Oryzias latipes: one gene and its partners. The protein of the gene in region 4 interacts with the protein of the main gene of each other region in a biochemical or structural test. Links are inferred from orthologs where the notes say so. Each region holds a gene or a part of one and is shown on either strand. Other genes may lie near its edges. The genes, in order: rnf7, pparg, uba1 and ubiquitin-conjugating enzyme E2 R1.

What was found.
Region 1: the proteins of ubiquitin-conjugating enzyme E2 R1 (region 4) and rnf7 form a complex in vitro, tested with the Homo sapiens proteins (5 studies listed by BioGRID). The link is inferred for Oryzias latipes from reciprocal best matches to the Homo sapiens genes CDC34 and RNF7.
Region 2: the proteins of ubiquitin-conjugating enzyme E2 R1 (region 4) and pparg form a complex in vitro, tested with the Homo sapiens proteins (2 studies listed by BioGRID). The link is inferred for Oryzias latipes from reciprocal best matches to the Homo sapiens genes CDC34 and PPARG.
Region 3: of the proteins of ubiquitin-conjugating enzyme E2 R1 (region 4) and uba1, one has a biochemical effect on the other in vitro, tested with the Homo sapiens proteins (7 studies listed by BioGRID, with this or other methods). The link is inferred for Oryzias latipes from reciprocal best matches to the Homo sapiens genes CDC34 and UBA1.

The regions. Positions count from the first base shown.
Region 1 is NC_019871.2:22,561,647-22,569,824, forward strand, and holds rnf7 (RING-box protein 2), read right to left. Parts: upstream 5,178-8,178; 5' UTR 5,120-5,177; coding exon 4,957-5,119; intron 4,833-4,956; coding exon 4,785-4,832; intron 4,054-4,784; coding exon 3,935-4,053; 3' UTR 3,664-3,934; downstream 1-3,663. Other genes in the region: rhodopsin kinase 2-like, read right to left, coding at 313-969; transmembrane protein 255B-like, read left to right, coding at 7,156-7,222. UniProt on the Homo sapiens protein: Catalytic component of multiple cullin-5-RING E3 ubiquitin-protein ligase complexes (ECS complexes), which mediate the ubiquitination and subsequent proteasomal degradation of target proteins.
Region 2 is NC_019863.2:9,210,387-9,218,729, forward strand, and holds part of pparg (peroxisome proliferator-activated receptor gamma), read right to left. Parts: intron 5,655-8,343; coding exon 5,455-5,654; intron 2,807-5,454; coding exon 2,701-2,806; intron 1,630-2,700; coding exon 1,430-1,629; intron 1,177-1,429; coding exon 933-1,176; intron 1-932. UniProt on the Homo sapiens protein: Nuclear receptor that binds peroxisome proliferators such as hypolipidemic drugs and fatty acids.
Region 3 is NC_019865.2:13,787,931-13,796,273, reverse strand, and holds the end of uba1 (ubiquitin-like modifier-activating enzyme 1), read right to left. Parts: intron 7,313-8,343; coding exon 7,117-7,312; intron 6,001-7,116; coding exon 5,926-6,000; intron 5,842-5,925; coding exon 5,652-5,841; intron 5,546-5,651; coding exon 5,460-5,545; intron 5,078-5,459; coding exon 4,985-5,077; intron 4,451-4,984; coding exon 4,259-4,450; intron 4,167-4,258; exon of another isoform or gene 4,046-4,166; intron 3,945-4,045; coding exon 3,843-3,944; intron 3,757-3,842; coding exon 3,656-3,756; intron 3,574-3,655; coding exon 3,438-3,573; 3' UTR 2,521-3,437; downstream 1-2,520. Other genes in the region: rho guanine nucleotide exchange factor 3, read right to left, coding at 1-8, 122-184, 499-657, 738-845, 930-986, 1,466-1,510, 1,591-1,639, 1,878-1,915. UniProt on the Homo sapiens protein: Catalyzes the first step in ubiquitin conjugation to mark cellular proteins for degradation through the ubiquitin-proteasome system.
Region 4 is NC_019875.2:22,335,399-22,342,569, reverse strand, and holds the end of ubiquitin-conjugating enzyme E2 R1, read right to left. Parts: intron 6,579-7,171; coding exon 6,444-6,578; intron 5,288-6,443; coding exon 5,077-5,287; 3' UTR 3,538-5,076; downstream 1-3,537. Other genes in the region: sirt6 (NAD-dependent protein deacetylase sirtuin-6), read right to left, coding at 2,341-2,468, 2,971-3,036. UniProt on the Homo sapiens protein: E2 ubiquitin-conjugating enzyme that accepts ubiquitin from an E1 ubiquitin-activating protein, and catalyzes its covalent attachment to other proteins by an E3 ubiquitin-protein ligase complex. In vitro catalyzes 'Lys-48'-linked polyubiquitination.

The DNA of each region.
Region 1 (8,178 bases), on a different chromosome or scaffold from region 4:
AACGTAAACCTGGCCTTATTTCCCATCCTCCCGTTGACTTATAACCCCTCACACCCTCAACCTAACATCTTCGGTGTAACAAAAATGGCTGTCCTGTCGTACAGTTTTGAGCTAGATGCCAGCTCGGACGAGCTCTCAGACTCCATCAGCAGAAAAGGCCACTAATGTGAATTTCGCCTGAGTGGGTCTTTCAAGAATTATAGTAAATGATGTAGACTTTGACTTTGTTTGCACAAAGGAGGACAATTTGCAACACACTTCAGTGCCAAGGCATGAATTTAGTTTGTAGATGTTGAAATTTTGGGTGCGTACCTCACCAAAGCCTCCTCTTCCCAAAGTCCTGAACTCATAAAAGTACTTGTCAGTAATCTTCTGCCTCTCACACTCCTTCCACTGCAGAAACCTGTAGAAATGGGGGCTCTTCAAGTATTCCAGGAAAGGTTTACCCTTCAGGAAGTCCTTTGTTGCATTTGTTATCTTCTGAACTGTTTCCTCATCAAGGCTTTTGACTGACAAGGTCCTGCACAGGTTTGAGTCTTCTGTGAGGTAAGACAGAAACGTCTGAGACTGAGGATGACAGAACTTGGCAAGTATCCTTTGTCTGACCTTCTCTTTTGTTGCGTCCTCAGCAAAGCTCCAGTCGTCTAGCTCCTGCAGGAACACTGCAGCGGCTGCCCTCTGGGGGTCAGAGGTCATGAGGAACTGCAGGAAAAGCTTCCTCCCGATGGGCTGCAGCTCACACAGCCACTCGTAGCTTTTCTCGGCCCCTGCCCGGGGAGCAGTCGATTTCTTTGGGTTGGGCAGCGTCAGGGATTCTCTTCGCATCCTCTGCTCATTGCGGCCGGCCTGTTGTCCCTTGAGGTAAGCCGTGTTCACCACCAGACTCTCCAGCCCTGCCGGGTCAGCCTTAGGGGGTGAATCATGTGGCATGTTGAAAGGCAGCAGACAAATGACAAGACTTGAGGACATCCATCTTGCAAATCATTGGGCACAAGTGAGCGCTGGCAGCACCTGCTTGGTGAACATCCTCCATGTCCACACGCCGCTCAGGGATTTGGCTCCTGCTAAGTGCCTTTGCACGTTTGTGCAAAGATGGGCACGCAGGGAAAGCAACTTATGTGGTCTGTGGTTAAGAGGCTTTGGGCCAATCTATTCTTAGAAGACACAGGGAGCCGTGCTGTGATTGGACAGCAGCTAACAAAGTGGCAGGCCATACCTGAAAAGTTAAAGCAAGAACAACTTTTTTTAAACGCACCTACACTTGATCAAACCTACACACTTAGAAGCTCAGAAGCTGAGGGAGTTTTGTCTAGTTAAAACTAAACGTTTCTTTTCTTAACCCTTGTGCTATCTTAGATGACCCCACCCTCACATTGATGTGTTCTCCCTACCATGACAAAGGTGGATGAAAGTGGAAAGATTTCATGTAATCCATGGACACCAGTGAAGATCACAAATCATTGAAGAAAAAAGGTTCAGCGCACTGTCTAGTGCAGGGGTGGGCAAGTCCAGGCCTCGAGGGCCGGTGTGTCTGCATGATTTCCAGATACTCTTCCCCTACTCATGGCTGATTACCTGGTTCAGGTGTGTCCAGCCAATCAGAACATGCCAGAGCAGGGTATGCTGGAAAACATGCAGGACTGCGGCCCTCAGTGCCCACCTCTGGTCTAGTGGGTCTAGATGACCCCACTCCCAATGTTAAAGTGTCTAGGATAGCACAAGGGTTACTCCAGGTTTTGGTGAAAGGTGGCTACAGAAGAGCATAAATGGATGGATTTGCTTGGTGGATTTGCCTGAAACAGCTTTATGGCATAAAAGCTCACATGTCAAACAAGGACAATCAGTCCAGCCATCATTAGCCTCATGACTAAGTCAATTACGCCGGTAATTCTTCCTCTCTCAATTCTCCAAGTTTGTGCGTTTTGTGTGCACAAGCAAAGGCAGAAAACACAATGAACTCATCTAAAACTAAAAATACACAAAGAACAAAATGAACCCACTTCTAAGATTTTCCTGGTTTTGTTGGGTTAATGTCGTGCTGCTTAGTGGTGTAAGAACACCAGCTTAAGCTCTATGTGATCCAGCGCTCACAGCACAGAGTGCAGCCTCTTCCCAATCAAATTACTCTCATTAGTGAGTTTATCTGCGCATTAACATTAAAGAACCACTGATGAAAATGGTGGTTTTGGTGTTTTTAACATCTTATTTTGGCCTTTTTTCTGATGATAGAGGACATATATAAAGAAAATCAAGCTTAAAATTGCATTTCTGAGTTTTTCTTTATTCAAATAGTTGTGAATCAGGAGCAGACCAAAAATGCAGTTTAAAAAAAAGCTTTTTGAGACATGCACAAGCTCCCTGCTCTTCTCCATTCTGATACACCCACTTACAACCATGTGAAGCCATGGCGCAATTTCAATACGGGAGAGCTATCTCATCTTCTGGTACACCAAGTTCTTCATACTACATGCCACTCATCAGTTAGTCTTCAGTCTTAGCCAATAGCTAAAATGCTCACTTTCTTCACAGCCAATCACAATCAAATTCCTGCCTTTGAATTCATGGAAGTTAGTTTATCTGCATTCTAGACACTTCACCGGCCCACCTCCGCCCTGTTCTCCTCCTGGCTCTTTGATTCGGAGCGGTCTGGGGCTTAACCCTTGTGCTATCTTATATGACCCAACCCTTACTTACGTGTTATTCCTACCATGATAAAGGTGGATAAAGGTGGAAAGATTTCATGTAATCCATGGACACCAGTGAGGTTCACAAATCATTGAAGAAAAAAGGTTCAGAGCACTGTCTAGTGGGTCTATATGACCCAACTCTCAATGTTAAAGTGCCTAGGATAGCCCAAAGGTTAATCACCATCAGCGTCCAGGCTCTGGGGTCTCTTCTCACACGGTCCGAGGTCATCCCAAGTATGCAAGAAGTCTCCCGCCCAGAACCTAACCGCCAAAGACTACAGACCATTTCATGCACAAATTCCTGTTTCACTAGTAAATCTCAGAACTAAAATCTTTTTGTTTAACCTCATAAAGGCTACAACATCAAGGAACTGACAGAAATTTTGTTTTTTACATGTATAAAAATACAGCCAAATCATGTTGTAATGATATAGATATAATCAATTACGGTATGTCGGGTGTTTTGGTAAGTTTTATCTCACAACAATGTAATTTTAAGATGCAAAAAAATTGACATTAGTTCTTAGGGAAAAAAAAATTAGTGTTTAGGGGAAAATAAAATCACCTTATTTATCCACTCTCACATTTGACCCATGGGTAAATGTGACCACATTGGGTCAATGTGTTATAAAAAGTTAATTATCAAAGACTTGTGTGTTTTTTCAGTAGTCATTTAGAAAAGTGTAAAACAATAGATGAGTTATTCTCAGCATAAAATTTAGAAAATTAGCTAAACGTTTCCCGTCAAGTGTTTTTGAGATTTCATGGAAACAGCCATTTTGAAATCAGCAGGAAAAGTCATTCTACTGCCCCTAGTGGAATGATGATGAATTACAGGACAGAAAACATGGACCAATGGTTTTTAAAGAAAGTTTGGATCATGTTAATAATATTGGGGTCTCAGGAAGGCATGTATAAAATATGATGCAAATGGTTATATAGGATTAATGGAAACTATTCAAATGAAAACAGACCTGCAGCTTTCACAATTCTTTTATTTCTAAAATAAAAACCACTTCTTGTGCCAAACATCGCAACATACATCAAAGTTAATCTTAAATGTCAAACACTGTAAATTGTCATCCATCCCTCCATGAGGCTTCTAAAGGGGTAGAGCAGCTGATCTGTACGCGTTTTTGTTCCCCGCCCTCCTTTTACGCTGTGACTACAGGAAACATGCGATGGCGAGCAGGAAGACGGCACAGGAGAAGGCCGGGACGGCTCTGAAGAAAACACGGGCTCAGTCCTCATTTGCCGATTCTCTGCACCACCCAGTCTTGTTGGCAGAGGGGGCAACGGTTGTTCTGCTTCACCCAGAGGGACATGCAGCAGTTGTGGAAGGAGTGGTTGCACTCCCCCCAAACAACTGGAAGATGGAGGCAGACAAACAGGTTAAAAACTGAATGACAAACATGTTCAAAGACAATATATTGTATGAAACATGTACGTTTTCATTAGTACTCTTATTTTCACAAACACAGCAGGACTTCTGTGACAGATTATAGAGAAATCTTCACATGAAGAAGGGAAGAACATTAAAGTTCGTTTGATTGTGTCTCAAACTATTAAAGACCACCTCCAATGAAAATCACGTTTTTGGCGTTCTTATCATGTTCTTGTGATTTTTTTTGTTTTTTGATGATGGAGGACATGTATAACGAACGATTGCTTTATTCAAATTATTAAAAAACATGAACTTGAACATAAAAGTGGCAATTCATCTCTTTATTACAGGCTATTTGGTAAATTTAAAAAAATCACAAAACAGTTTTTTTGTTTTCAGTGTTTATTTTGTTGCCAATGTAAGAAAACTACAAAAACATTAAGAAAGCTGTCTATGGTTGGATGTTTTTAATGTATTACAATGTGTTTTGTAGTGTATGTGCCAAACTCTGGCATTCTCACTGTTATTGTTCTATGTTCTTTTGTTGTATTTTACATAAAATAATAATAATAACTTTTTTCTTTCAATATCGTGAAAGCTGCGCGCCTGAGCTTTTATTGTGGTGGGACGCAGGGTTGATGATAACGCTCTTTAGCATATCCGGTTAACCGATTGTGCTGTTGATGCAACTTTTAGAGCTCGGGGCGTCTTACCGACACAGTCTTCCTGTTTGTTCTCCGCCTGACATCGGAGGCACGCGTCTGTAAAAGTGTCAGAAATAAAGTTAAAGCACCAAGCAGCCTACATCCACCAAACACGTCCGTGTTAGCTAAGCTAGCACGGGTTAGCCGGGTATGCGTCCCAAGCTAGCTGTCAAACACTTACCCATTACTTGTACCCGACAAATCGCACACGTGTCGCATTCCACGTCCCAGCTCCACATGGCCACAGCGTTCCATTTCTTCAGGGAAAACATCTTGTCACTCCCCGTCTTGGATCCCGAAGAGGTGTGAGAAAGCACCAAACCCGGCTCGTCCCCGTCGTCCATCTCTGCAGCTCCCACGTTAGCTTAGCTAAACAAGCTGGATGCTTGTTCTCACAGCGACGGCAGAGGGCGCTGTTTCTCTATTTTTAGTAAAAAGAAGAAACCATCTTGAAGTTTGCACCTGTTTTATAGTGTATGCAATTTTTTTAAAATATGCTTCAAGACAATTTATTGTATTTTAGGAAATTATATAAAAACATCTAACATGCTTTATATTTCAATAAAAAATGTAATGTCTTAATTTTAAAAACTAATTTTGTCTTGAAACTGTAATCTGTAGCATATAAACTACTCATTATTAAGGAATGCTCCACTGAAGATATGGACAAAGAAAAATCTAAAATGTAATCAGTCAGGAAAGGTTTCATTAGCTATTTTATTAAATGACATTTTAACACACCAGCTTATGTAAAAAATATACATCATTTGTTATGTAAACATGCTTCATATAAAGATGAACATCTAATTTGTATGTTTATATAAAAAACAAGCCATTAATATAATTAACTACAGTGTAGTATTATAATTTAGGAAAAAACACAATATAAAGTTTTCTCTTTAATGCTGCTGTCTAACAACACCTTAATATTTATTACCTATTTAACATAAATTATAGTATACAAGACAATAAAAAAATAAAAATAAATGCTACCTCATTTCATCAGATGTATTTAAACACAACCAAACAAATTTCCAGCTATACACAGAAATTCTTTTATACAGATATCAAATTTACTATCATAAAATACTTTTTTTTTCTAGAATGACATCAATGCTTTGCTTTTGTCATTTTTGTTAAAGGAGTCCATTTCTCAGGATGGACGGTCAACAGTAAGTTCAGAGGAGCGTTGCTTCCTTCAAAGCCTTCCATTTCGAAGCTGCTTTGTCCTTAAACGTGTTTCTGTTTAGAGATCCACAAAGGAAACTGTCAGTCTTCATCAGATGAAACAGAAACAGGCACAGAACATCATGGCGACGCCTCTGGAGTCTGAAACGAACTCTGATTCTTTAGGACAAGCTTCTGAAAGTTTAATTTGGCTGGCGGCTCCTATCTTTTCACAGCAGCTGGATCCTCAAGTGTGTTGTGAGTTCACAGACCATCTGTTGCATCACAAAGCAGCACTCTTAACTGGAAAAGTGTCTTAATGAAAGAGGAGCCAAAGTGTTTGCTGAGAAATCGTTTAGGTCAGGAAGTCCAAACAGAACATCAGCATCCACAGAGAGAGACAATGTTTTCATGAGTAATATGCAGTGTTTTATCCTTTGGACAAATATGTGTTCAGTTTTTTTGGAATAAATGACTCACTTTTACCCGTAAATCAATTTTGTTTCCCACATTCTTAAGGGTTCCTTTTAATTTTTCTGTCAGACTTTAGTCTGAGTTAACTTTGTTGCGATTCTTTTGCCATGTCTACATTTTGCATCTCTTGATGAGTCTCGTCGAGAAACAGGAAAGAGAATCCACCTCAGGATCAAATCATTTAAAGTCCCACTCATCTTTTGATCTTTTTTCAAATCATTCCCAGTGACGCTTTTTAAAGCAAAAAAACGTGTCGTTTTCCAGAACATAGTACAGTTTTGAGCTAGATATCAGCTCAGACTAGGAAAACAAAGACATACATGGATCTAGTCATCTACAAGTGGATGCAACAGACTGGAGTGGACCAGGGAGCTACATCATAAATACAATCTTCTTTAAAAATGACATTTAAAAGGGCTTTAAATGTCATCTGGTTAAGAGTCCAACTGCTTTTCCCGATTGTCCGTTTTGCACTTTAGTGCCACAGAAACATAACTGCCCAATTTTTTGTGTCCCTCTGTAGAAAAAAGAAAAGAAAAGAGGGAAGTCTGGTGTTTCCATCATTCCTTGAATGCAGCAGAGGCAGGATCACTTAACGCTGCCCTGCAACACTCAGTGGTTGTAGTCAGCACTCACACAGATTCCCAGCATTGAACCCTCATCAGAGCTGTGGTTCAGGAGACGGACGCTGCCTGAGGGAGAGGTGTGGCTCGTCTTCATTTCATCCACTGCTTCTGTCATGACTGCAAGGATTCAAGCAGCGGCTGGAAAGTTACAAACTTCTGTGTTTCTCAGCAAAACAACAGGTAAGCTGTCAGCTGAAAGAGGCTTCTGAAAGAAAGATTTACCCAGAAGGCATTTCTATTTCATCCATTCATGACGATGAAGGCTCAGCTGAAAATTGTGAGAATTCGTTCAGTAATATTTATGACACAATGACTTAATTTTAAACATTTGCTCAAACAATACTTTAATATTTTTAGGACTTTTTAACAACAAGAATGCACATTTGCAAAGAATGAGTGGTAATATCTTTGACAAGATCTGAGTTAAGTAAGGAAATGTGTTTAAATTGATTTTTTTTAAATTGCTTTTCAGCAAAAATAAGAATTTGCATGTGATGCAAACATAAACGCTAACAAAAATATTCTCAGTAACATGGCATTTCAGATGCACATTTTCTGCAAATATTTCATGCAAAATTCAAAAGTAATATTGTTGTGTTGAGGTGAGAACTGCAGGTGATCACTAACCAGAGTCACGCATGAATCCAATAATGAACTGAAATAGCTTTTGTGGAGTCGATTACATGTTTTCACATTCTGGTGTAACAAAGTTATGCAGCAAAAAAGGCTGGAAGAAAACCAACCCCTGAGGAATGTAAAACTTAAAATGTCAATATGAAGGTTGCAAACCTCTTTCTTCCTTTTTTATTAAACTAATTCACACTTTAGCTGCATATCTGGATTACCATTTTTTCCACCAGTCTGAAAAATCCTTCTTCAATTGAAAAGTCTGGAGCAGAAAGGACCAAATTGAAAAAAATACGAAAACAACAATACTCTTATTGAAAAATCACTACAAAAGAAACAAAATTACCTGTCCATGCAGAAAGTCATCTTTAATTAACATTACATACTATAATAAAAGATCAACATCTAAAAAGAAGAAGTATTCCATTTTGAAGAAGCCTTCAAAAATGGAAAAACAGCTGTTTGATAGAATTACTTCAAATTGGCTATACAGCCCAAATAGAAGTATT
Region 2 (8,343 bases), on a different chromosome or scaffold from region 4:
GCTCTTCTCGATGTGGAGAAGCAGAGGCTCTGCTCCGAGCGCTGGATGACTGAGCTTTTCACCCTATCTCTAAGGGGGCACCCAGCCACCCTGCCGAGGAAGTTATAAAGTTATAAAACTGATGTTGTTGTGTATTTTCTGAGCACTGGCAGCTAACATAGCCCATCTGTGACTATTGATGACGTCATCGAGTTGTAGAAGTGACACCATTTTTCCATAACTCCCCGTTTGGAGAGCTAAATGTATGGGTGGGGAGAAACCAGACGGGTAGGGGAAGAACTCGGATTGAGCCTCAAACTCCTCCACCTGAGGTGGGAGCACCTCACCCACCAGGAGAGGGACAACTACCTTTCCCTTTATGAAAACCATGCCCTCAGACTTGGCAGACTTGTGCTGACCCTCATCCAAGCTGCTTCATACTCTGCTGTAAACCACCCCGATGCATGATGGAGGTCTTGGATCACCTGCAAATAGCAGAGAGGAAGTCCTGTGATCCCCAAACCAGACCCCCCCTGGTTCCCGGCTGCGCCTAGAAATTCTATCCGTAACAATAATGAACAGAACCGGTGATAGAGGACAGCCTTGCCGGAGTCCTCCATGCACTGGGAACCCTCCCTATCTGCCAGTCCAGAGGTACTGTCCCTATTGGCCACTCAAAGCTGCAGAGAGCTGTCAGTAAAGACAGTCCTACAGCATCTACAGCACTTGAGGAACTTAGGAAGCTCTTCAGTCATGGAGCTGTTCAACTCCCTCAGTGACTTTAGCTTGGGTGACGGACAGCCCCATCCCAAAGTTACCAAACCTAACAGGGTTCAGGAGATCCTCAAAGTATTCCTTCCACCTCCGTCGAAGTCAACAGCTCCCTGCCCACACCAAAGAAGGTGCAAGCAGAAAGCTACTTATATGAAATGTCCTACGGAGAACATACTCACCCCCACTGAGGATAATAACAGCCAGAAAGAGCGCCATGTCGCTGTCGTCCAGCTCCAGAGTGTTAAACTTCACGGAAAAGTCAAACTTTGGTTCCAACATTTGACAAAAAGGTTTCCTGAGACTTTTGAGGAACTCCCGCGTCATGAAAATCTGTCCATAAGAGATCAGGGTGCCATCTTTGTTCATCAGAGGAGACATCATCAGGATCAGGACTTCAATTACTCCATATTTCAGTAAAGTTACCTAGAAAAATGACATAGAACAAATTCTCATCCAACCAAACAAGATTATTTATCCTAGATTGGGAAGTACGAGTAGTTTTATAGTTATTCACTTTTTTTCTATGTAAGCACAATTTAAAGTTTACTTCTTTAGATTTTCACTTTGTCCAGCACGTAAAAGTAATACTTAATAAACAGATTTTACTTCTGACATGAAAGCAATCCTTCGACATTCAAGCAAAGTCAGAGCTAGTAATTAAGAGCGACTGTCTCACTTGATCGTTGAGGTCCAGGTTAACAAATCCCGGGATGCTTTTGGCGAACTCTGTCACTTCCCTCACTGCTTCTGCTGAGCGTGACTGGCAGCTGTAGAAGAAACGAAGCTCCACGCCATCCGGTGGTTCTGATCCAATGTTGCTGGCCATCCCGAAAACATTACAATCTGGACTTGAGAGGGCTCCAGCGATTCCAGAAACTGGAACCAGAAAAAAATGGACAAAAAATGCGGGATCAAAAATATGTGTATAGTAACTATGTATCCTTATCCAAGTCTTCTCAAAAATTAAATACAAGGGGGTCCCATATTAGATCTCTTAGCTGTTAAGAAGTGTATTGAGCGTTGATCTCCCTCTAAGTTTTAACTAACCACACAAAAACTACTATTTATGGTGTTTTACAGCAAAAAAAAATTCAAAAGCAAAATCATTCATTTTAATTATGAGATAAAGAAAACCCAAATTTGCTTAATTACATCAGCAGATCAAAAGCTTGAGGCAGCACATTGACAACTTTCATGGCATGCTGGGAAACAACAAAATCACAAATATAAATAAAATGCGGCAAAATATTTTAAATACAAGAATAACCACATATTTTATTTAATTTTATGCTAATTGAAAATGTCTTTTGGAATCAGATAAGATGTTTGTAAAATACATATTCCAAGAAATTACAAACAGTGGCAATGTAAATATTCTCAAAGTAGGACATTTTCTTTGTCCTTAAAATCTTGCCTGCAATTCTTTTTCCTTCTTTTGCATGTTAAAGGACTCATTTTTAGATTTAAAAACTAAATAAGAAAGGAAACATATTTTCTTAAAACAATCAGTCTTAGACATCTTTTTGTTTATTTGTGTAAATATCTAAAATTAAGATCAATAAGATTTTATAGCTTGTTTTAGGATTATAAATCTTGGGTAGATTAATCAAATTTGCACAGACTATCAAGAAAGATAGTAAGATAAACCACATGGGCGGCCGTGGTGCAGCGGTAGGGCGGTCAACTCATGATCGTATTATTGCATGTTCGATTCCCGCCTTGTGTCAAAGTGTCCTTGGGCAAGACACTGAACCCTACCTTGCCTCTAGTGGGAGGTTGGCGCCAGTGTTCGGCAGCAGAGTCGCCACCAGTGTGTGAATGTGTGTGTGACTGGGTCTGTAACTGTAAAGCGCTTTGGGCCTTGTAGGTACAAAAGCGCTATATAAGTATACGCCACATGCCTTCATTTGTAAACTTAAAACAAATATCTTCAAAGTATCTACCAACCTCCATGTCCAGCTGTGGCAATCTGCTGCTCCTGAAAAGATGTCTGCCCATTGTTGATTAACTGCTCTCCTTCCATAAGAGACTTAATGTCATGGATGACAAAAGGCTGCAAAAAGACCACAAATTTGAGAGACCATGGTGAGAAAAGTAAAAAGAAATATGAATTGGCGTGAACGAGGTCTTTTGAGGACCCGTGAGTCACAGAAATAATAGTCTTGGCTCATTAATCAGGCTTACAGGAGCTCACATTACAAATGTGTGCAATGGGAAAACCGTAAAAAAGCCTCTGCTGCTGAGGCAAATGAAAACATCACTTCTTTGTAAATTAAGCTTAACCGATTTAGCTCAGGCTAAAATGAAAAACCGAAAAAGACGTGCTCCGGCCTGAAAGATTCATTAAGTCTCAATTCTTCAAAAAGAAAATTAATAAGGGAAAGCCCAACTGCAGTTTACAGCCGGTATTTCGACCCGGTGTGTGAAATAAACAATTCTTTCATTTTCATGAAATTGTGCTCTGCCTGTGAAACTTTGTGGGCTCATCCATGTCGACAGCCTGTGAAGAAAGTCTCTTTATGTATGATTGTGATCTGCAATATTTTGATTAAAAGAAGAACATAAAACTGATTTACAAGACACTCTTTACAACTTTGATCTTTTTCTTTGAGAAATAAAAATTTTAAGTGCAATAATGTTGTTTACTGTGGCCTTTTATGATCTTCCTACAACAGTTGATGGCAAAAATATCTATAGTATTTAATGAGCTGTAGTCATCTCCCTTTTCAGTCAGTTTTTGTGGAGAACTGCAGGAGTTACAGACTGATTAAACTTCAACTCATATCAAGGCCTCGCATGTTCGGAAATGTAAATATTCAACGAAAGCTAAAATGATTGACTCCTAGTTTTGTTTTAGGAGGTCTGCTGTGGTTTAGTAAATAACTCAGGAGTGGCTCAAACAAAGAGATGATTCGGCGTCAACTGTCTGCCACCGCTGTCTGAACAGTCATAACAAGCAGACCAAAGTAATGCGCAGCAGCCTTGAGCACAGAAGGTGCTTCTATCATTCAATAATAAAACTATGATGACAAGACTTTACCATTATTAGTTTTTATTACAAAAATGTCCAAAAGTTTAATGAAGATGTTTTAAATTGAACTAAAAATGCCATATAATGAACAAATAATCTACTTTTTCTTTTCTTTTAAAATATTTTCTTTCTTTTAAAATACATCATATAAGAATCAGTTCATGTCGGTGTCAGTCAATTCTAGAAAGTCTACAAAAATACAAGCTGATGATGGCACAATGACATTAAACAATTGTCTAAGATGTTATCCCTAGATTTTTTTTATTTTGCAGCATACTTTTTATCTGCAGGATTTTGACTTAAAACTATCCAAATGATTAATTATCCTTCAAAGCAGAAGTGAGAAAATACAATTCTCAAAAAGTAATAAAAGTTAAAAAACTTGCGCCACGTTGCTGAATTTAAATACTTCCACATAAATCTGCTACAAAATTTCTATTTTTGAAATATGTATTCTAGAAATGTGAAGAATGACTCTCTGAAGGCCAAATAAACTATAGTGCAAACATTTAATGGTAATATTTAGTGATGTATATTTTATTTTTGACTGATTATGATAAAAGTCTAACAAATTAGTCAAAATCTTCGAAAAGCTAAGGAACCGTTTAAAAAAAATCCAATAACCAAAAATGAAACCAATCACTAAAATTTTGCTGCAAAGCAATCATATTAATGTATAATTTTTATAAATTTTAAACAAACAAACAAACAAAAAAAAGACCAAACAGCAGTGACCCCTTTATTTGCTTCCATACTGAGGGGAACATTTAAAGCTCCACTTCAATCATCTATTGTAAAAGTGTTTTTACTTAGGATTGTGTCGTTTTTTAAATTTGGTGTTGTTTTCTAGGACACGGTTTCTGCAGAGCGGCAGGAGTTCATAAGAAATTCACCTCTTAGGTGTTTTGGTGCAACGCAAGCCTGCACTCATTTCCCACAATCCCTTTGTCTACAAATTCTCCTGCTAGCTTACAGCCCCCCCCCCCCCCCCCCCCCCCCCCCCCAGCTAACATTAGCATTTTAGAGCTATCCAGCCAAACAGTTATGAGCCAGATGTCAGCTCAGACAAGGAAAACAAAGAGGTACATGGATCTAGTTGCCTATAAATGGATGCATCAAAATGGAGCGGAGCAGGAAGCTTTGCCTGCTGACTGTAGTTTTTATACGCAACAGCTACAAGCTTTTTCAAACAGCTTTTTGTTTTTTTTTTGGTCTGCTCCTGATTTACTTAGAAATGCAGTTTTCCTCTTAATGATCTTCATATTTGTCCTCCATCATGGGAAAAATGCTACAAGAACATGTTAAAAATAACTCAAAAACACAATGTTCTTTGGAATGGGACTTTAAAGCTCTTTATCTGATTTTTCAGTAGAGAACTTTTTTGCCCAATAATAGAAGTAAAAAAACCTGACAGGAAAGCACAACAGGTCTGACTGCTCACATGGGGCTAAAGATACAAAATAAACAGAACACGTAGAGAAATGTGCAGATAGGAGGTGTTACAACTTTAACTGACGACTCAACATCAAGTTAGGTCCAATATTAAAGCTCTCTTTTCCTATGAATCATTTAACAAACTCTGAAATCCTTTGCCTTAAATTATAATTTTTTTTTTTTTTTACTGTTGGCTACATGATGACAAAAAGTGAAACTGAAGTGTTTCGTCCTACCACGTTGTCTCCGGATTTCCCAGAAAGGATGGCCCTGGCCTTGGCCTTGGTGAGGGGGAAGTATTTCAGATAGGCCTCGTACAGATGTCGAGCCAGAGCCCTCAGATCTGCTGCCTCTGGGTGCATGTGCTCCATGTCAGATGAGAACTCGGCCAGCAGCTTCTCCTTTTCTGCTTGGGGCATTCGGCCAAAACGGATGGCTGGGAAAGGAAATAGAGATGTTTACAGAAACATCTCTTAAAGACCAGATTTTTGACAAATTTACAGAAGACAAAACTTTATTTACTCCCTACTTCCTTTCATGAGTTATCTTAATACTACAATGAGGTGCACGGCTTCATTACACTGCACATAGTTGCAAAGTCTGATAATAAGAAACACTCCTGTGGAAGCAACCAGTTCAGAAAGTACCAAGTGGTTTATGTATAAAGTGCCAGTTCAGTTCCAATTTATTTCAGATTATTCCAATAAACACCTTCCTTAAATAGTCTGATCATCTTTTGATCTATTGTAAAAATTTTCCCAGTTGTTCCAGTATTATAAACTAAAACTAAAAAACTGTGTTGTTTTCTAGGACATAGTTTCTGCAGAGCAGCAGGAGTTCATTAAAAAGACTGTTGTTGGCGTAGAGTAAGCCTGCCCCCTTCCCCTCTTCCATCTTTTTTCATGCTCTCCCACTAGCTTACAGCCACTCACAACCTAACCATACCGATGCAACAAAAATGGCGTACTATGCTGGAGCTATCCAGCTGTACAGTTTTGAGCCAGATGCCAGCACAGACGAGGAAAACAGCAAATAAGCCCATTTTCTAATGGTGTTTTTTCATCTGCTCCGGATTCACAACGATTTGAATAAAGAAATAGTCAGAAATACAATTTTTAGCGTAAATTTCTCTATATTAGCCTTCCATTATTACTATAATGCCACAAGAACATGTTAAAAACACCAAATTCCTTTTTTTTTTAATTGCAGTGGGTCTTTAAGCCTCAAGGAAACTATTTTAATTGTTTTCATTTAGTTTTGGTAAGAAGAATCATGCATCATTTTTTAATCCATTATTGAATTATTTAATTCCTAATCAAGAAAATATTTTAATACAAAATGCTTGAAAACCAATGTTTGTATGAAATTAGCAGGAATTAAACAAAAGTTTTACAAAATGAAAAAAACACAATTTGTGGTCAAAACATAGTGGTTGTCTCGTAGTCATTCGCTGAACGGCTGTGGAAAGCCACAAATTTGCGTATACATCTAGCAAAAATTACGCACAACTGTGTATGATTTACGTAATAATTGCACATAAACTACATAAAATAAACGTACACTGAGCAATCCTCAACCGGCAAAAAATTTTGAACAGCTCCAAACTGAATTTACATAAAAGAGCTGCGATCGACATCTGCGCACATTGACGAACAAGGAACGCAAGAAACACTCATGAATTACATGTATCATGCATGTATCACGAAAGACTGAAATGTCTTTCGTTGAAAAACGTACGCAAAATGTACATAATGGCTGTGTGACACGGCCTTAACAAAAAAATGATCGCTAATCGCTACTTTTTAGGAAAACAAAGAAATGTTTAGTTCGTGGTCTAAATCAAAAATATACTGCATTGGCTCAAACGTGTCTTTAATTTCTGTGCACTGTTTCGTACAGAATTCCAAATTAAAGAAAGGCGTTGAGTTGCCGTGCAGACGCGTCTGATCCTTGCATGTTTGGAGGCTGCACCTTGCAGTCAATGAGCAGACGGATGAGGCAAAGACCCTGCGAGCCTCTGCAAACCAGCCTCACTGCCAAAGCTATTCACCTGCAGAATATTTCCACTGTCAGGACCACGTGAAAAATGCCGTTTTTTTTAGGTGTGTCTCGTGACGCACTAGTAGATTTCATTCACCTCTTCAACATGTTGGCAGCAATACTTTCACAGCTCATTGAAAGCTCTCTGTTTACAGGTCTTGCATATGACACAAGTGGCCAAAACTACACAAGACAGTCAGACTGCCATTCATTTATAGAAGATGGACTTTGGTTTTCCTGAAACTACATACCAAATAGATGGATTGAATAGATTTTAGTTAAAACATAATCATAGTCAATGATTGTATATAAAAAAAAAGATTTGTCTGTTTGATCTTGAGAGGTTTTCTATTTTTTGAAACCAAAAGTGTTTGTGACAGCTGTGTTTCCATAAATTAGGCCCTTTGACTCTTTCATTAAAGTTCAAACTGTTCTTGATTCTTGGTTGACCCGGGTGAGAAAAAGGCAAAAAGAAAAGCGCATGCTAAGGTGTGACAGAGCCAAACCACTTCACGTGGGTGGAAGTCATCAATTACCGCTCCCTCTCATTTAAACCTCCATTCCGCCTTTACTGCGCTGTAAGTGATTGTGTAATATTAATTACGCAATCACGGCTTCACCTTACACAAATTAATCTACCTCCAAACTGGCCCCTCCACTTTTTGGGCAACGAGCCTGCAGCTGTGACACAGCACGACGGAAAAATGAGTTGAGTTGCATGCAGCCTGAGATCGCTGATAACCTGCACGAGGAACATTTTAGAATACAATTCCATCAAAACGATGTGAGGGGGAAGTGGAGACGTCTGTCACTGCTTTGACTCTAAAGAAAATTCAGTTTGTAGATTCAAGTTGCAAACTTTTCTTGATAAAGGAACTGGGAAGATGCTGCTGAGAGTCCCTCTTTGGTCCAGTACCCATAAAGCTAAAACAATGGTGGTATTTAGAACCATATTTTCCAAGTCTACCCTTAATGACAGACACTAAAGGTGGGACATACCTGTAGCTGCATGTATGGTATAAAAAGAGGTCTGTGCACGGGCAGTTGCACTATTAATTGTCCAAAGAAAAACATGAGAAAAAAAT
Region 3 (8,343 bases), on a different chromosome or scaffold from region 4:
TAGTACACCTGACACCAAGGTCATATACAGATGAATATGTGTGAGGGAAAGTTTAAAGACTGCAACGTGCAAGTGTTTCCATGTTTAGCAACACAGGTGCAGCAATATGATGTACAAGTACCTTTTTCACTAAACTGAGGTCCTCTATAAGCTGCCTTTCTCCCTGAGTCAGCTCATAAATCACCTGCAGAGAAGTAAACCGTTCCATGACTGCAAACAGCCACTCAGACAAGTCAAAACACGTATGGAGTTGCATAAGAGGTTAATGGTGTACACAGCCAGCATCAGCTTTTCACAGCTGATGGTTTGGCAAAGGAAGTAGAGCCTCTAGTGCCAGCTCACATCCTCTTTCACAATACCCCACTGCGAAGCAGCTTCAGAGAAATGAAGAGAAGGTGCAGGGCACATCATACTCTGTTTTTAAGCACATATTCCACAGCGGTTTCAGAAATTCTTCTGGTTTCTGCAGCTGAACTAGAAAACGACCGTGCCTCACACCTCTTGGCGTTTGATTTCCTTGGCTGTGAGGTCGTGGCTCTCCACTGTGTCGCTCCAGCACTGGCTGTTGCGCCGACGTGGAAACGAAGAGGGTTTCTGGCGAGAACGGGGGAGAGCCGGGGGCAGAGGTCGAGCATCTGTACGAAAGCTAATAGATCGCTGTGAAAAGAAAAGATGGTGTTGACTGTCTGAACGGAAATGTAAGTGGTAAAAGCATGGGTGTATCTGAGCATCCTTACTGAAATAGACTGACTTAAGCGTTTCAGAGCCGGCGTCTTCATTTGGGGTAGGACGCCCGTGAGGCTGTTTGATTTCCCCACAGGTTTGACTCGTTTATTACTGGGCTCCTGAAAACCACATGAACTGAGCTTAAGCAGCTCAAAAAAAACATAAACAACATAAATATAAAATCTCCAAGAGCTGCAACTGACCTCTGAATCTTTCATGTGGTCAGGTGACATTTCCTCCTCCTCTTCTTCCTCTTCATCCTATTGGAAGTCATAATTGGGACTGAGTTAGAAAAAAAATGGAGTGGAAAAAGTTGAGGAAAACAGAGAGAAGGCAATGTTGAGAGGGTTAAAATGTTGCATGGTGCAGCCTTCTCATTTCCTGTGTGAGTCTTTCGAAGAGGAAGAAGGTTCAAAGCGTGCCTCTGTAGTTAAACAATAAAAATGACTGCCTTTTAACCTCCACATTTGCAGTGCAGCAGTGGTGAAATGCAGTTGGTCAAATAGGGATTTTTAAGGAAAGCAAATATGACGCAAGACAATAAAGTGGACAGACCACAAAAGCTCAAAGTGGGTTTTATATTTAAAAAAAAAAAAAAAAGTTCTGCTGAACACAATGCGCATTTCTTTGTCAGTTCAGCAGTCAGCATTGTGGTCACAAAGGTAAAGTTGACTAACTTCCGCCTCTTACTGAGAAACAGAGACGATTATGATAGGAAGCTGCTCGGCTTATTTCTCACCTCAATGATTCTTATCACAGCTTCGGGATCTTGTTTTCTCTTTTTCTGAAAGAAAAAAATATGATCAGCTTTTTCCCCCCCTTTTAATTTATAACTCAAATGAATGAATAAAGGCAGATTCTTACCCCAGCATGATCACAAACAAATGTGTGACTGTCGCCTGACATGTCAGACCTAAAAAGGAAAAAAGGTTCCCAAAGAAAAATAAAATTATTCAATCAAAAAGATTTAAAATAATCTAAAAGATCTCATTTCACCCTAAATTAGTTTGTGATTATACAACAAGAAACTGGTTCACTGATGATGCAGCAAGTATAGACTAAAAAAATAAATAAAATTACCCAAAAAACTCAAGTCACCCTGTTTTATCAATTAACAGATGGAACACAGAAGGAAAAAAAGTTGATCGTACCAGGAAGTCCTCGATTCATCAGTCGCCTCCACTTCCATGTTAGTTTCTTCAAAGCATCTTCACAATATCACTGGACATTTTGAACACGAGTGGCAATAATCCAGATTTGAGGTAGTTTCTGTGCAGGCCCGAACGCAACCTGTTTGCATTCGGGGTGTTAAAAGCTCAACACACTCCTTCCTCTTCACTTTCTTCCTCATCTTACAGCTTACCACATCCTTTAGGGGTTGCACAGAACTCGCATATCCGCTCTTCTCAGGGAGGAGTGCTCAAGCTTCACGCTAAGCTCATCACCGAAATCTCATTTCTCCTCCAAATGTTCACAAAAATTTGTTGTGGAAAAATTGTAAATTGCTGAAGTGAAATAATATTTGACGTAGAGTGTCATATTAGACTGTGGTTACCAACTGATCTAGTTTTAGAAAACTTAAATATCACATAACCTACAGACATTTTTTCCACAGTAAATAGTCAACCAGTCTTTTAGCTGGTGAAGCTTATTTCCTGCATGTGATGCTCCACTTCACTGCTGAGCAGCATAAACCAGACTAGACTCAATAACCAAAGCAGACAACACACATAATTAAAATCAACGTCACACATTTTTACTGAATCAACTGAAAAGAAAAGACAGACACACAGGCGAGTTTTTCCATGTTTATTCACTATAACACTAAGTGCTCCCATTCAAGATACATCTCAACGCTTCGCTCTTAGATTTAATTAATTTTGGAGTTAACAAAGTAGAAAGACAGTTTGATGATCTACCAACTGTGTGCCAAAACTCCTTCCAAACACCCCCCCCTCCCAGAAAATAAAATAAAATGGAACAAAACACATGACATGGAGAGCATCAAGAGAAAACTATTGTGGTGTGCAGCAGCCTGAAGAAAGCCAGAGTGCTGAAACGAGGCTTTGAGGGTGCTTCAAAGTGAAGGAAGGGAAGGAAATTCATCAGTTTGATGCTGTAATTCCATTTCCAGTTGAGGAACAAAAAATAAAGGGAGAATTGGGTTTTTACGTTGTTGAATAGCCTTGATTTAAAAAAAAAAAATCATGTATTAAAAAGTAACAGTATGAGGGGACAGATCTATTAGAAATGGGCTCCAGAAGAGAGGAGAGCAAGCAGGGTGTGTTTGAAAGCTCTGCTTCAGAATGATAGTTAGGTGTTATTGTACATACAGACTAGTTGGGCTTTGCAATGAGGGCACCGAGGCTTTTGAAGTTTAAAGGTTCTACTACAGAAAAACATTAGGATGTCCAATTTACATGCTCCCTCCCTCTCTCCAACAAATCTCCTCTTCCCACAGTCAAGCACAGAGTGGAACTGTAACACACAGACAGGTATCCTTCTGTCAGCTTACTGGGGCTATGTACAGTCAGGCACAGGTTTAAACAAACCACGGGCCTAAAAAAGGAAACCAATTGATCCAATAGAGCCGATCTGGATCAATCCACCCACCCTTTGTCACACCACTATTTCCCCACTAAGAACACCCCCATTCCTTGCATCCCCCCCTAGCAACTACCACCCTCCTGTGGGTGGTCTCCGGGTGAGGCTCAGCGAATGGTGTATCTGACGTAGGGCACTTCCACATCTTCATCTGAAGTATCGTTACAGCAGAGCTCGAACACCAGAGCTTTAACGTGCTTGCCCAGCTTCTTTTTGGACACCTTGGTCACAATCTCAGTCATCCTGCAGAAATCAGAACAGGAAAAACTCAGTTTGTGGAAGGAAAACGTAAAGAGGCTGGACTCTCGCGTATGCAGTTACTTACGGTAGGTCAAGCCTCTCTTTAAGCTTGGCAGCGGGCATGAAAAATGAATAGAGCATGGACACTCCCTGAGAAAGCATGGTGATCTCCAGCTGATGCTCGTTCTGCCAAACAGGGGAGAAAAAACAAAGTTACTCATTGCAAAAACAAAAAAAGTTGGAGAAGAAGCACCTAAATTTGCTGAACATACTTTAAAGTAATCCAGAAACTGGCGGAGTGTCATCTCTTCACCGTTGGCCTGCATTCCTGTTACTTCAAAGCGATCCCACAGACTCCATTCAGTTTCATAGTACTGGAAATAAATGAAAAATAAAGTTACAGCTACTGTAGGTAAAAAAAATAGACATCACACAGAGCTGCAACAATGCTATAAGCGCATATTTGGTAAACACGTCTCCTCAGCACACACTGATCACACCAGTGTGAGAAGGTGAGTTGAACTCACTTGCATCCAGTCAGAGTTAATGCAGCTGACTGATGCATCAGTATTAGCATGGCTGAATCATCACAGGAGCCAGAAGCAGACTAAAACTTTATCACTGTGTCACAATCGTCACACGTTTTATAATCTTTACAAACTTGTGGGATAAAACAGCAACACCTCACCTTATGTTTTGGAGCAGCAATGGGCTCAGAGTAGGCAAAGAAAGGCAGGGCTAAGTTCATGAAACCATTCTTGTACGTCTCAAGCTTCTTGTGTCCTTGCACGACCTTGATGAGCTCCAGGCAGACCAGGCCAACAACTGCAGCGGTGGTGGTGGCAATGGCAGGAATGATCTTGCCGGCAATCAGTTTGCTCTGGAAAGAACAGTAAACCAAAAGAGAAATTCACAATCGATCAGCTAATGAACGGAGGTTAAACAATGAATGAAAAACACTCACTTTGGTTTGCTTAACATTTCTAATTTATAAAAAACATACAGACCAAGTTTGAGGACGTTTTATATGTCACAATCACTCCTTCCAAGGTTAATTGGTTACTCTAAATTGTCTCTCACATAAGTGTGAATGTGAGAGTGCATGGGTGTGATTGGGGCCCTGCGACAGACTGGCGACCTGTCCAGAATGTCCCCAGCCTTCACCCGCAAGTGGCGGGATAGGCTCTGGCATCGCCGTGACCACAAAAGGGAATAAACAAATTAGAAGATGACCGAATGACTCCTCCCTTCACCAGTCCAGAAAAATTCAGACAGATACATTATTGAAAGAGAAAGAACAGGGGAAAAAAACTTAAAGTATTTCTGCCCAGAGGTTTTGCTATGCGAGAATCAAAAAAACAAAAAGACGCCCTTGTTAGTTGGCCAAATGAGGTCATGTGAATGTTTAGCCCACCTTGTGTCTGTCTGCAGGCGGAATGTCATAGTTCTCTGCTCTAAGGTTGGATGCGGCCACAATAAAGTCCATGTGGAAGTTGGTGTCATCATCCTGGAGGGGCAGAAATAAAACCATTTTTAAAACATTTCTTCTCGGGTGATCCATGTTCTTCCTACACTACAAAATAAATGAGGCTGTAGCAAGTAAAAGGGGGTAATTTAGTGATAAATAGAATGACATTTTCTAAATACAAACACACAACGGGGTTCATTTGCATAGAGAATCACGTTATTACGACATACAAACTAATAATGACATTCACGTTTCATTCATCTAGTAAATCGATTTTTACTTCTACGTTCCTGTATTATTTTGATGACAACAAAAAAATATACAGAATTACTTTTTACATTTTTTTTTAGAAATGACAAACATTTGTAACATGACGATCAAAGAAAGACTGATTATGTCTGACGTGAAAGAAATTGAGTACCTTTTCAAACTCGATGGGGTTTAATTTGAACTGGAAAGACTCTGGTGACGGCAATTTGGTTTTTAGTTCTTCCAGTTTAGAGTCATCTGCATTAAAGAGATCCATGTCACAATAGGCCTTCAGCAAAGACAATTATACACAAACATTTCTGAAAGATTTTCAATGCTGTCTTGTGCATAAATACGGTCTTACCAACAGAAGAGTTGCTCGATTGCAGCTCCTGGTCTGAGACGTGAATTTTAACCCCAGAACGGGGGGTAAAAGTGGGCACCTTGACCTCTTGCAAAATCTTGACCAGTCCTGCACGGTCGGTGCTACCTGGCAGACCATACATCTGCGCAAACAGGTTAGCAGCTGCCAAAACATAATCCATGTGCAAGTCCTGGAGACAAAGGCTAAATGTTAATAATTTGAATCTTTTTTTGAGGAGGAATACTTTTGAAGACGGTGAAAAGCGCATATTTACATTGCTAGTGCTGAATTCTAGGGGATGAGGACACCTCTTTGGGCCAGACCAGAAAGGTGCACCTGAGCTGGTGAGCTGCAAGACAAATATCTTCTTTAGACATATGGGACTCAAGATACATCTGAAAAAGTTTAGGAGCTCAATGTTTAGATTGGGTGCAACTTCATGAAGTAAAATGTAAACAGAAAAACAAGAAAATATAAAAAGAAGTCCCTGTAAAAGCATTTCCAGATATTTTTTCAGTCCGATTATGCGGTTTTTAGACAAAAATCAAGAAAACGGTTGTTTTCTAGGGCAGTTTCTGCAGAGCGGCAGGAGTTCAGTAGAAATTCACCTCTAAGCTGCGGACAGGGCTGTTGACGCGGAGTGAGCCTGACTCATTTCCCATCAACCCTTTGTTTACACCCTCTCCTGCTAGCTTACAACCTCTCACAACCCCAACCTAACATTACCAGTGCAACAAAATGGGGGCGCTTTATTAAGTCAGACTTTATTTATCCTCATTGAAATGTATTCACAACTCAAGTCCTTTCATTGATGACATATGTAATTCTGCCACAGAATGGTTAAAGATCTAGGGTCCAGATTGTTGTTTGCCTTTTATTTTAATTTATGCTGAAAGTTGTTTTTAATATTTTTTTATATATGTATAAATTTTTGTTTTCTTTTGTTCTTTGTTTTTGTGAAAAGCAGTGCCTTGCATCATTGTGTGGTTGTGTCTCCAAGAGTTTTGTAATGGTTATATTTTAATTAAAAAAAATAAAAAAATGTGGGCGCTTTTTAGAGCTATCCAGCCATACAGTTTTGCGCCAGACGCCAGCTGAGGAAAATGAGGACATTTGTCTGCATCAGAATGGGAGGGAACTTGTGGCCTGCCGACTGTATTTTGTATGGAACAACTGCGAGCTTTTTCAAATAGCAATTGTTAATCTGCTCATGATTCACTACAATTTAAATAAGGAAAAACTCAGGAATGCAGTTTTAAGCTTAATTTTCTTCATATACGTCCTTCACCATGACAAACATGCTACAAGAACACGTTAAACAACAACACAATTTTCATTTGGATGGCTGTGGTTTAAATAGGACATGAAAATATCAAGACAAAAAAAACCTCATAGTGTAGAAATGTTCTTCCATTTCCTACCATCTGTGAATAAAATTAAAAGTGCCCACAACAGGGGCGTTTACCTGATCAGGGGGGAAGTTGTGCAATAGCTGACGGATGTTGTTGCTGTACTGGCACTGCCAGTGGTTGCGCGCCCAAGCTACGCAGTCAGCCCAGCTGTGTGGACAGTCTGTGACAACGCACTTGTAAACTGCATCCAGTACTTCCAGTGGCTGAGCCCCAGGAAGCTTCAGTGTACGCTCCATGAACTTAGGATCTCTGCAGGAATCAGAAAAAACAAATACATGAAGTATTGAATTCCATAAAACATTCTTAAACTAAATAATGCTTTGCTCCCCCCCCCATTCTTTATAGTTTAATACATCAGAGTTTTTATGGACCTCATGACACTGTGGTAGATTAAATTTGAGTTCCAGTTAAAGAAATCTCTCTGCTGAATTGAAGTTAAGTTCTAGAGAACCAACTGTATTCTAACTTTGACCCTAACGTCATCAAACCACTGAGATACCATCATGTTTCACATTTATGTACACAAATATGGTCTGAAATGTAGTTCATGGTCAACTGCAAGCAGGGACAGAAGCAAAATCTCCTTAGCTGTGGTTGTGGTGTGCTTACACATGGTGTTTTCTCGTACAGTGCGGGCATGTTTTAGTTTGGGCTACGGGTATCGTTCTCAAGGTCTTGCAGAGTGAAATTAATGTATACAAGTTAAAGCTCCATAACCATGACGTTCTTTTTCTTGTAAACACTAACATTTTTGATAGGAAGGAATGTTTTCTTTGCCATGTATGATGTACATTTTAGTCTGCAGAAGGACTGAGTTTAGCTTTTAGTGGTTGTTTTATCATTCTTACATTCCCCTTCAGTGTTTTAGCACAAAAACAAATGCCATTTGGCAACTGGGCAAAACCTCTGGGACACCACAGCTTTAAAAACATTATACTTGCAGATGGACCAATAGGTTCAAGGGAGGAAGAGTGTCTAGCTTTCACAAAAGACTTCACTGTTCACCACTACATCTACGGTTTAGATTAACTATAGTTGCCTGCGGGGACAGCACTTTCATTTACAAGCTTTAAAAGACTGAAATGGTTCAGTATTCCCTCAAGGGGCAAATATTTTACTTAAAGTTAATTGTGTTTTGGACATTTTTTCTATTTCGTTTACTCTTTTCTTTGTAATTATTTTTGAGGTTTAAATACTTAAAACATCAACATTCAAGCATCTCATTAGAAAATCTATGTAAATATTTCAAAGAGGCTCGATCTTGTTAACATGGCCGGCTG
Region 4 (7,171 bases):
CTCAAGTACAACAGCAGCCTTACATTGTTACTCTACCAAGTCTAAAGAATGGTAATAATGAACATATAATCTCTTGTACGTATTTATGAAATATGATTGTTTATGGACGGGTTTGTTTGAGTGTCACGTATATATGTAAACTAAACCCAAAGTTAATAACTTTCAAATAAAAGGGAGCATACTGATACAGCAAATCATTTCTTTTTTCTAGATTTTACTGGAAAAGCCATTTCTTCCCCCGCCTCGGTCTTGGGATGGCCCACAAATGCATTGGCTTGCCTCCCAGAACAATTTAGTTCCTCATTACAACTTCTACAACAACAAAAATAACAAGAGTACCAGTAATAGAAAAAAAAAACTCTGACTATTTTAATATTTGCATTGTTTTAAGTGTCTTACAATAGTTAACAAAAGAGCAAAGTTAGTTGATTAAAGTTTCTTCCCACGTTGAGCCCTAAAAATGCATTGAGTTTTCCTTTTTATTCCACTTGTTTATCATGCCTGAATAAATGAAATAAGAGTCATTACCATTTGTTTTTAGAGCTGATGAGTTGAGTCGTGTGTGTTGGACCTTTTAGGACAGGGGTTCCCAAAGACAAACATCCTATTTCAATAACAAAAGTATCTTTTTTGTTCATGTTTTTAATATTGCTACTTATCCTAATATTAGATTTAAGAATGAAATAAATTAAATGAAATAAATCAATTAGTTTGATATTGGAAAATACCATTTGGATTGAGGCAAATGTGAGTTTATTTTACTATACCGTAAAAAGTGATCAAGTGTAATCACCATGGACAACACACATGTGATGGCAGCAAAAACCGATCAGTGCATCATTCCAGTTCAATGCATGGAAACACTTTGAGTTTTGCCATGTCATGTGACTATACAGTAGAATGTTCTAGTAATGTTCTGTTTGTATTATTTTGATGTAGATAAACAACAGTGGGCTGAACTTTGTTTGCACACATATTTAATTTACACTTGATTATCTTGCAAGAAATACAAGGAATCTGGAAAACTTCACCTGCACTGTTCAGTACCAGGTATTTATCTCTGAGTCTCACTGGTTGAATTTTTGGCTTAAGATCGATTTTAGGTCAGTGAATCGGACTATTTAAAATGAACCTATATCAACTATGAATCAAATCAGCAACCACAAATTAGGATACGAATCAAATAGTTACAGTGGAACTATGGTCATAGCTGTTGTTGTTGTCATCTAAAATGGAAATAAAAAATGGTGTCATGTTAATTTCATTTATGTTTTTTTATTTACTAACATTCTAGTTTGTCTGTTAAGATTAATCATGAATATTGATCTATTCCAGCCTGTCTTCAGTTATATGTGTATATTTTGGAAAGGGTCTATTTGCACGTCATTTTCGAAATAAGTGCGGCCAGCCCTGGGCTTTTTTTCTTGGCCACACAGACCTAGAACAGGGGTTAAGGTTAGGATTACAGTTGTGGGTTGGGTTAAACCACCAAATAGCTCCTGAGCGCGGCTGTTTTTGCACCTCACCGCTCCTCCAGGAGATGGATCAAAGGCAGAGAACATATTTTACACACCTAGGTGCATGACAGATAATGGGACTGTAACTTTAAGTTTCATTTTAAACACCTGGGGCCAACAACAAAATGCAACCTTGGACGCACTTAACCCTTGTGCTATCCTACGGGGTCAAGATGACCATTGACATGTTATCCCTACCGTGACAAAGGTGAATAAAAGTGGAAAGATTTCATGTAATCCATGGACACCGGAGAAGACCACAAATCATTGAAGAAAAAAAGGTTCAGCGCACTGTCTAGTGGGTCTAGACTCTAGATGACCCAACTCCCAATGTCAAAGTGCCTAGGATAGCACAAGGGTTAAAAGGCACCATTATGTATCTTGGCTGCAAGCATTACGTGTGGCCAACATAAATTTCCATAACTTTTTGTGCTTGTCACATAATCGTGTGTGGATAACATCAACCTTTTTTTATGTACACATCATGTACGATTCGGTGGAGAAATTAGTTTAAAAAATGTTTTAACTATGATTTTAATAGGCTCATTTAATGAATGTTTAGAGTTTTTTTTTTAATGTAGTTTATGTAACTTTTTAGGGAATTTTAGGATCAAACAAGTAAAATAGTTGGACATGCTCCCAAAGAAAAATATAGATATTTAGATAGATTTGTTTGTGTGCAAAAGAATCAATATTATTCTGATTAACAGATGCGCTTCCTGTCATATAAAATACATATCCTATGTTTGCCTTTGTCTGATGTTGGCATTAGCAGCCAAATGTGGCGTACAAAAACAGAATTATCATTAGAATCGTGTCTCACCTGAAGTCAGGGATGCCGGCTGAGGTGCTGATGCCAGCTCCAGTGTGGACGACCAGGTACTGAGATTCTTTAACCAACTCAGCAAGAGTCTGCACCTTCTCCTTCAGCTCTTCAGGACTGTCAAACTTCTGCCAGAAGACACAAACAAGTCCTTTTAGGAATGAGCACAAGCAATCATCCATGCATGTGTTGCTAAGATTGTTGGTCCCGAGATATGAATTCATGAATAGCTTCACGCTTTTATCTATTTATGTGACACGTTCGGCGGACAAAGCCATAGCTGAACGTTAGTACAGATTAGTAAAAGGCTGCTTTAAATCTATTATGAAGGAAAACAACAACTTTGCACCCATCAAATTTTGTGGATATATATGATACAACATCCCAACAAGAATAACTATATTTGAAACAATATAATTTATTATCTTGTTAAACCAGAGCTGGAATTTAAACTCACTAGAACGAATAAAAAAAATGTAAAGAGAGATTTTCAAACAAGGGGCTGGTCCTTAGCAAGTGTTTTGTTAGATAAAAGAGCAGAAGGATCACAACAGCAGGACAAAAACATCGCTCATGATGAGCTGCTAGCTCATTTAGCATGAAAAGCTCTTTAATGTAGTCAAAATTTACCTCAGGAAGGCCGCAGACCCCCTTATCTGCGTAAGGTGACAATCCGGCAGCATAATTTACTGACATGACTCTGGTAACTGTTGTCTTTGTTGTTATTTTCTGTTTGAAAAACAGTCCCAAACCCGAGTTTTAGGTTTGAACTGCGGCGTTTGGATGACGACATCAATGTGCGCCGGCATGTGATGCATTCAGAAACCATAGGGAACATCATTGATACGATTCACACCATACAGACACAGACTTAAAATAGTTTATTTTAGAATATGAATAAGTTTGAGTTTTGCATTCTTACATCTACATAAATAATAAAAAAGTAATAAATAAAAGATAAAGACTGACATGTTTGGTAGTTCAAAATTCCTATTTCCCTCCAACCTCTTGAACACACATGTTCAAGTTACTCTTTATAATTGAATTTTAAGGTATTATCAAAAGTTAAATAGCATGAGCAAACTAAATGCTGTTGTCTTCAGCTGGAACACTTTAAATGACTTCCTTAAAATAACAAAGCACAACAAAAAATTGGATTTCCGTTATGTGCAGTCATTCCAAGCACTTCAATGAATGTTTCTTTGAAATAAATCTTTATTTTAAATAGCTGGGGGGGAAAAAAGAGACATGTGAATAAAACACTTTAATCATTCATACAGCTACATCTGCATATTGGAAATTAATTGCTTGCCTCAACAGTTGTTTCAAATGAATTTTTATCCTGAGAAATTTAATTTATTTACTAAACTTACTTCAGACATTAAAGTTATCAATACTGCAGATTGGAAAAAAACTAAATCAAAAAACACCATCCATACTCTCAGAAAAACACCAACACCCGTCCAGAATCACCCAACAAAACAGAGAAGAAAATTAAAATAAAGAGGATCATTATTTCTTAACATTTTCATTTGCGGCGCAGAAAAACGTCAAGAATCTAGAATCAGACTACGTGCATGATTTTACCTAATAATCTCACAGGTGACACCATTCAGGTAAACTATGAAGGAATTTAAAAGAAAAATAAATTATAATGAATTTCAACCAAACCAACAGAACTACATCATTTTTCATAGGTTTTGGAGTCTTTATAATGCTGCTTTAGCTCTTTGGGTCCATCAGGTGTTTCGGAGTGATACTGTGTTTACAACTGGATGTCTTTAAAATAGCAATCAAGTATTTTGACTACGATTCAAACCTTTACTCCAAGTATGATTAGTTAACAAAACAATTGTTGCTTTTTCAAAAACGGCCCCACACTTCGAGAGCTCAAAAACATTTCAAATCCCCCACCAACTCAAACACTTTTCAATCTCCCCTTAATTCGAGGTTGTTTAAAAAAAAAAAAAAAAAGACACACCCAGAGTGACAGAGAAACACATTCAACACTAAACCAGAAAAAAACCACAAGATCAAAAATGTCCACGTGGTATGGACCCCGCTGACGTGCCCATCTGCTTCTTCGCCACAGAGTCACTTCAACGCCGCAGCGGTTTTTTTGCTAGGACAAATCATGATGCGGTGGGAAAACTGTCCGCCGTTACAAGAGACTAAAAGCTTGCAAAGATGTTCTGGCATGCACAGAAACTTAGAAAATACTGTCACGTGGCAAGTTTATTGTGTCTTGGTGCATGTAATGGGATGCTGTAAAAGGTGAAAAATACTGGATCTCTGCAGTGCTTTTCCTAGTACAAGCCTGAAGTCCTTCGTTTTCCATCACGGAGATCAAAATTCACTTACAATTTAGGAAAAACAAATATGCAAAAGAGGCTGACTAATGTTTAAGAGAGTTTCCACCCCATTAAAGCCTACAGTGAGTGAAAAAGATTTGGTGAGCATTTAACTATCCTTCATGGTAAAGTCTGAGGTGGCCAAACTGAAGAAACTGCTAACGTATGTGCTGGTGCAAATCTTACCAGGTCCCACATTTTTACAGAGTCTTTTGTTTTAACCTCTGAGACGGGGAAAAAAACAGAGGCACGAGAAAAAAAGCTCTTATCCGTTTAGAGAAGGGAAGATTCCAGTCTTCCTTGGTGTTAAACCTAGAACATCTCGCTACCCCGGAAGGGAAAAAGGAGGAGCATAGCCGGACTGGGCGTTCAGTCAAAAAGCATGTCACAACTCCTCGTTTCCTGAATCGTCCTCGTCGTAGCAGCAGTCGCCATCCCCGCCCTCCATGGTGTCGTCATCATAGTAATCGTCGTAGAAGAGGTCCGAGCCCTCGTCGGGGGCTGGCGCACGTGTGCGGACGCAGTACTCCGCCAGCGTGGTGGGAACTTTCACACCATCGCGCTCAGCTTCAGCTTTGGTGGCCATCACCTGTTTCCTGGAAGAGACAACAGATTATTTTTCATTTGTGAGGACGCGGCAAACGCACAGAAAGCTAGGAAACACAGTGAAGGACTAGATTTCCTTTTGATGATCCATATCTTACTCAAGGATGCGTGACACAAGAAGACATCCAGATGGCATTTGTGCCGGATGTCTAAACCTCACCTCAGCTGGTCCCTTTTAGAACAGAACTTCATTGATTCCACAATGATGGTATTTTAATGCCTACAGGAAATTTACTTAAATTAAAAGGTGTTGATGCAATATGATCGTGTTCTTTTGTGTCAACTGTAACATCAAAACTGTACCGACAAATTCATGCGTTAACATTTACTTTTCAATAGCGAATCCAATTTTTGCCCCAAAAAACGTATTTAATTGAATTTTTTCAAATAAATTATCAATATTTTTATCTTCAGTAGACAGTGGATTCTTAAATGGTTGATGCAAAACGCTCATATCAATTAGATTTTCACTTTGTGAAATCGATTACGTCATATTTGCCGTTTAAAAAAAAGAAAGTAGTGAGCATGGTGTCCGAATTGTTTTTAAAATTCAGGGCACTAGAAAGGCCCGCACTATATATATATTATTTTTAGCAGTTAATCAGAATTTGATCTTGCAGCAGGATAAGGGTCCTCAACAGAAGCCAAATCTTTACCAGAACTAAAAACAGAAAAATAGAACATGGTCAAAATAAAAAAATTGGGAGTGACCAGTACAGTCCCAGAATTTAAACTCTATGAAGTTATTTTGAGGGAGAAAAAAATAGTGTAAAAAGCTAAAAAAAAAAAAATAGGAGTTAAAAAGATGGTAACTTTGATAAAAATAAATGTTTAAAATTCATTTCTAGTTATCTAATTGAAACCACAATTTCCATTTCTTTGTTTTAATTTATTCTTTACATTAAAGCAAAACATCAAACTACATTGTTTGCAACAAAAACGTAAAAGACAAGTAAATATTCTCAAACCTTGAATCAGTACTGTCCCTAAAATTGAATTAAGAAATTCACTTCTTTCCACTTGAGCAGTGACCAAAGAACCAAAAAAAGCCGGCAATACAGACTGTTGTTTATCTGCAGGCTGTTGAGCGAATCACACAGCCATTGAACAGTTTTCTTTCCTGCGTTTTGTTGCATTTCTACATACCTGATGATTTCTACATATTCCCTGTCTTTTCCTTTGCTGTCTCTCCATTTGCGGTACATGACAGAGGCGTCCACGTTGGCGGGGGAAAAGGTGTTGGGTTCATTCAGCAGCGAGATCACGCTCAGCAGAATAGTCCTGGGAACAAACAACAAAAGAGAATTAAAAAAAAAAATCTGAATCATAATTAAAAAACCACTGAGAAGAAATTGACAATACATATTCAGAGTGACTCTTTAAATCATCATAAAGGCCTTGAGCTTTAAAAGTAAACATTCTAGCTCATAAACACTACGGGAATTAGTACGGAGCCCGTGACATGACATGAGTGACAGAAAATATACAAATTCCTTCTTATGAAATAGTAATTTGTTCCCTCAAAAATAATTGCGACCTTTTACTTTCAACTGGAAATAAACTTTAATGTTTCCCTGCAACAGACTGGAGACCTGTCCAGGATGACCCCAGAGGCCCGGGACCCCGAAAAGGACAAAATGGTTAAGAAGAAGATGAATGTTTCCGGTTACATATTTACTGTAAATAAAATAACCTGTTTAAAGCAATAATATAAATGAAAGATATGTTGCCACTGCATCACTGATGCTTCCATTGATCATAGCGACGGGATCGCTACGCTGAGCGGCCCCTGGGCGGCTGGCTGGCTGCGGAATGAGGAGGCAGTCAGCTCGGGCCTCATAAATCTTATGATTTCATAATAAATAGATCCCCTG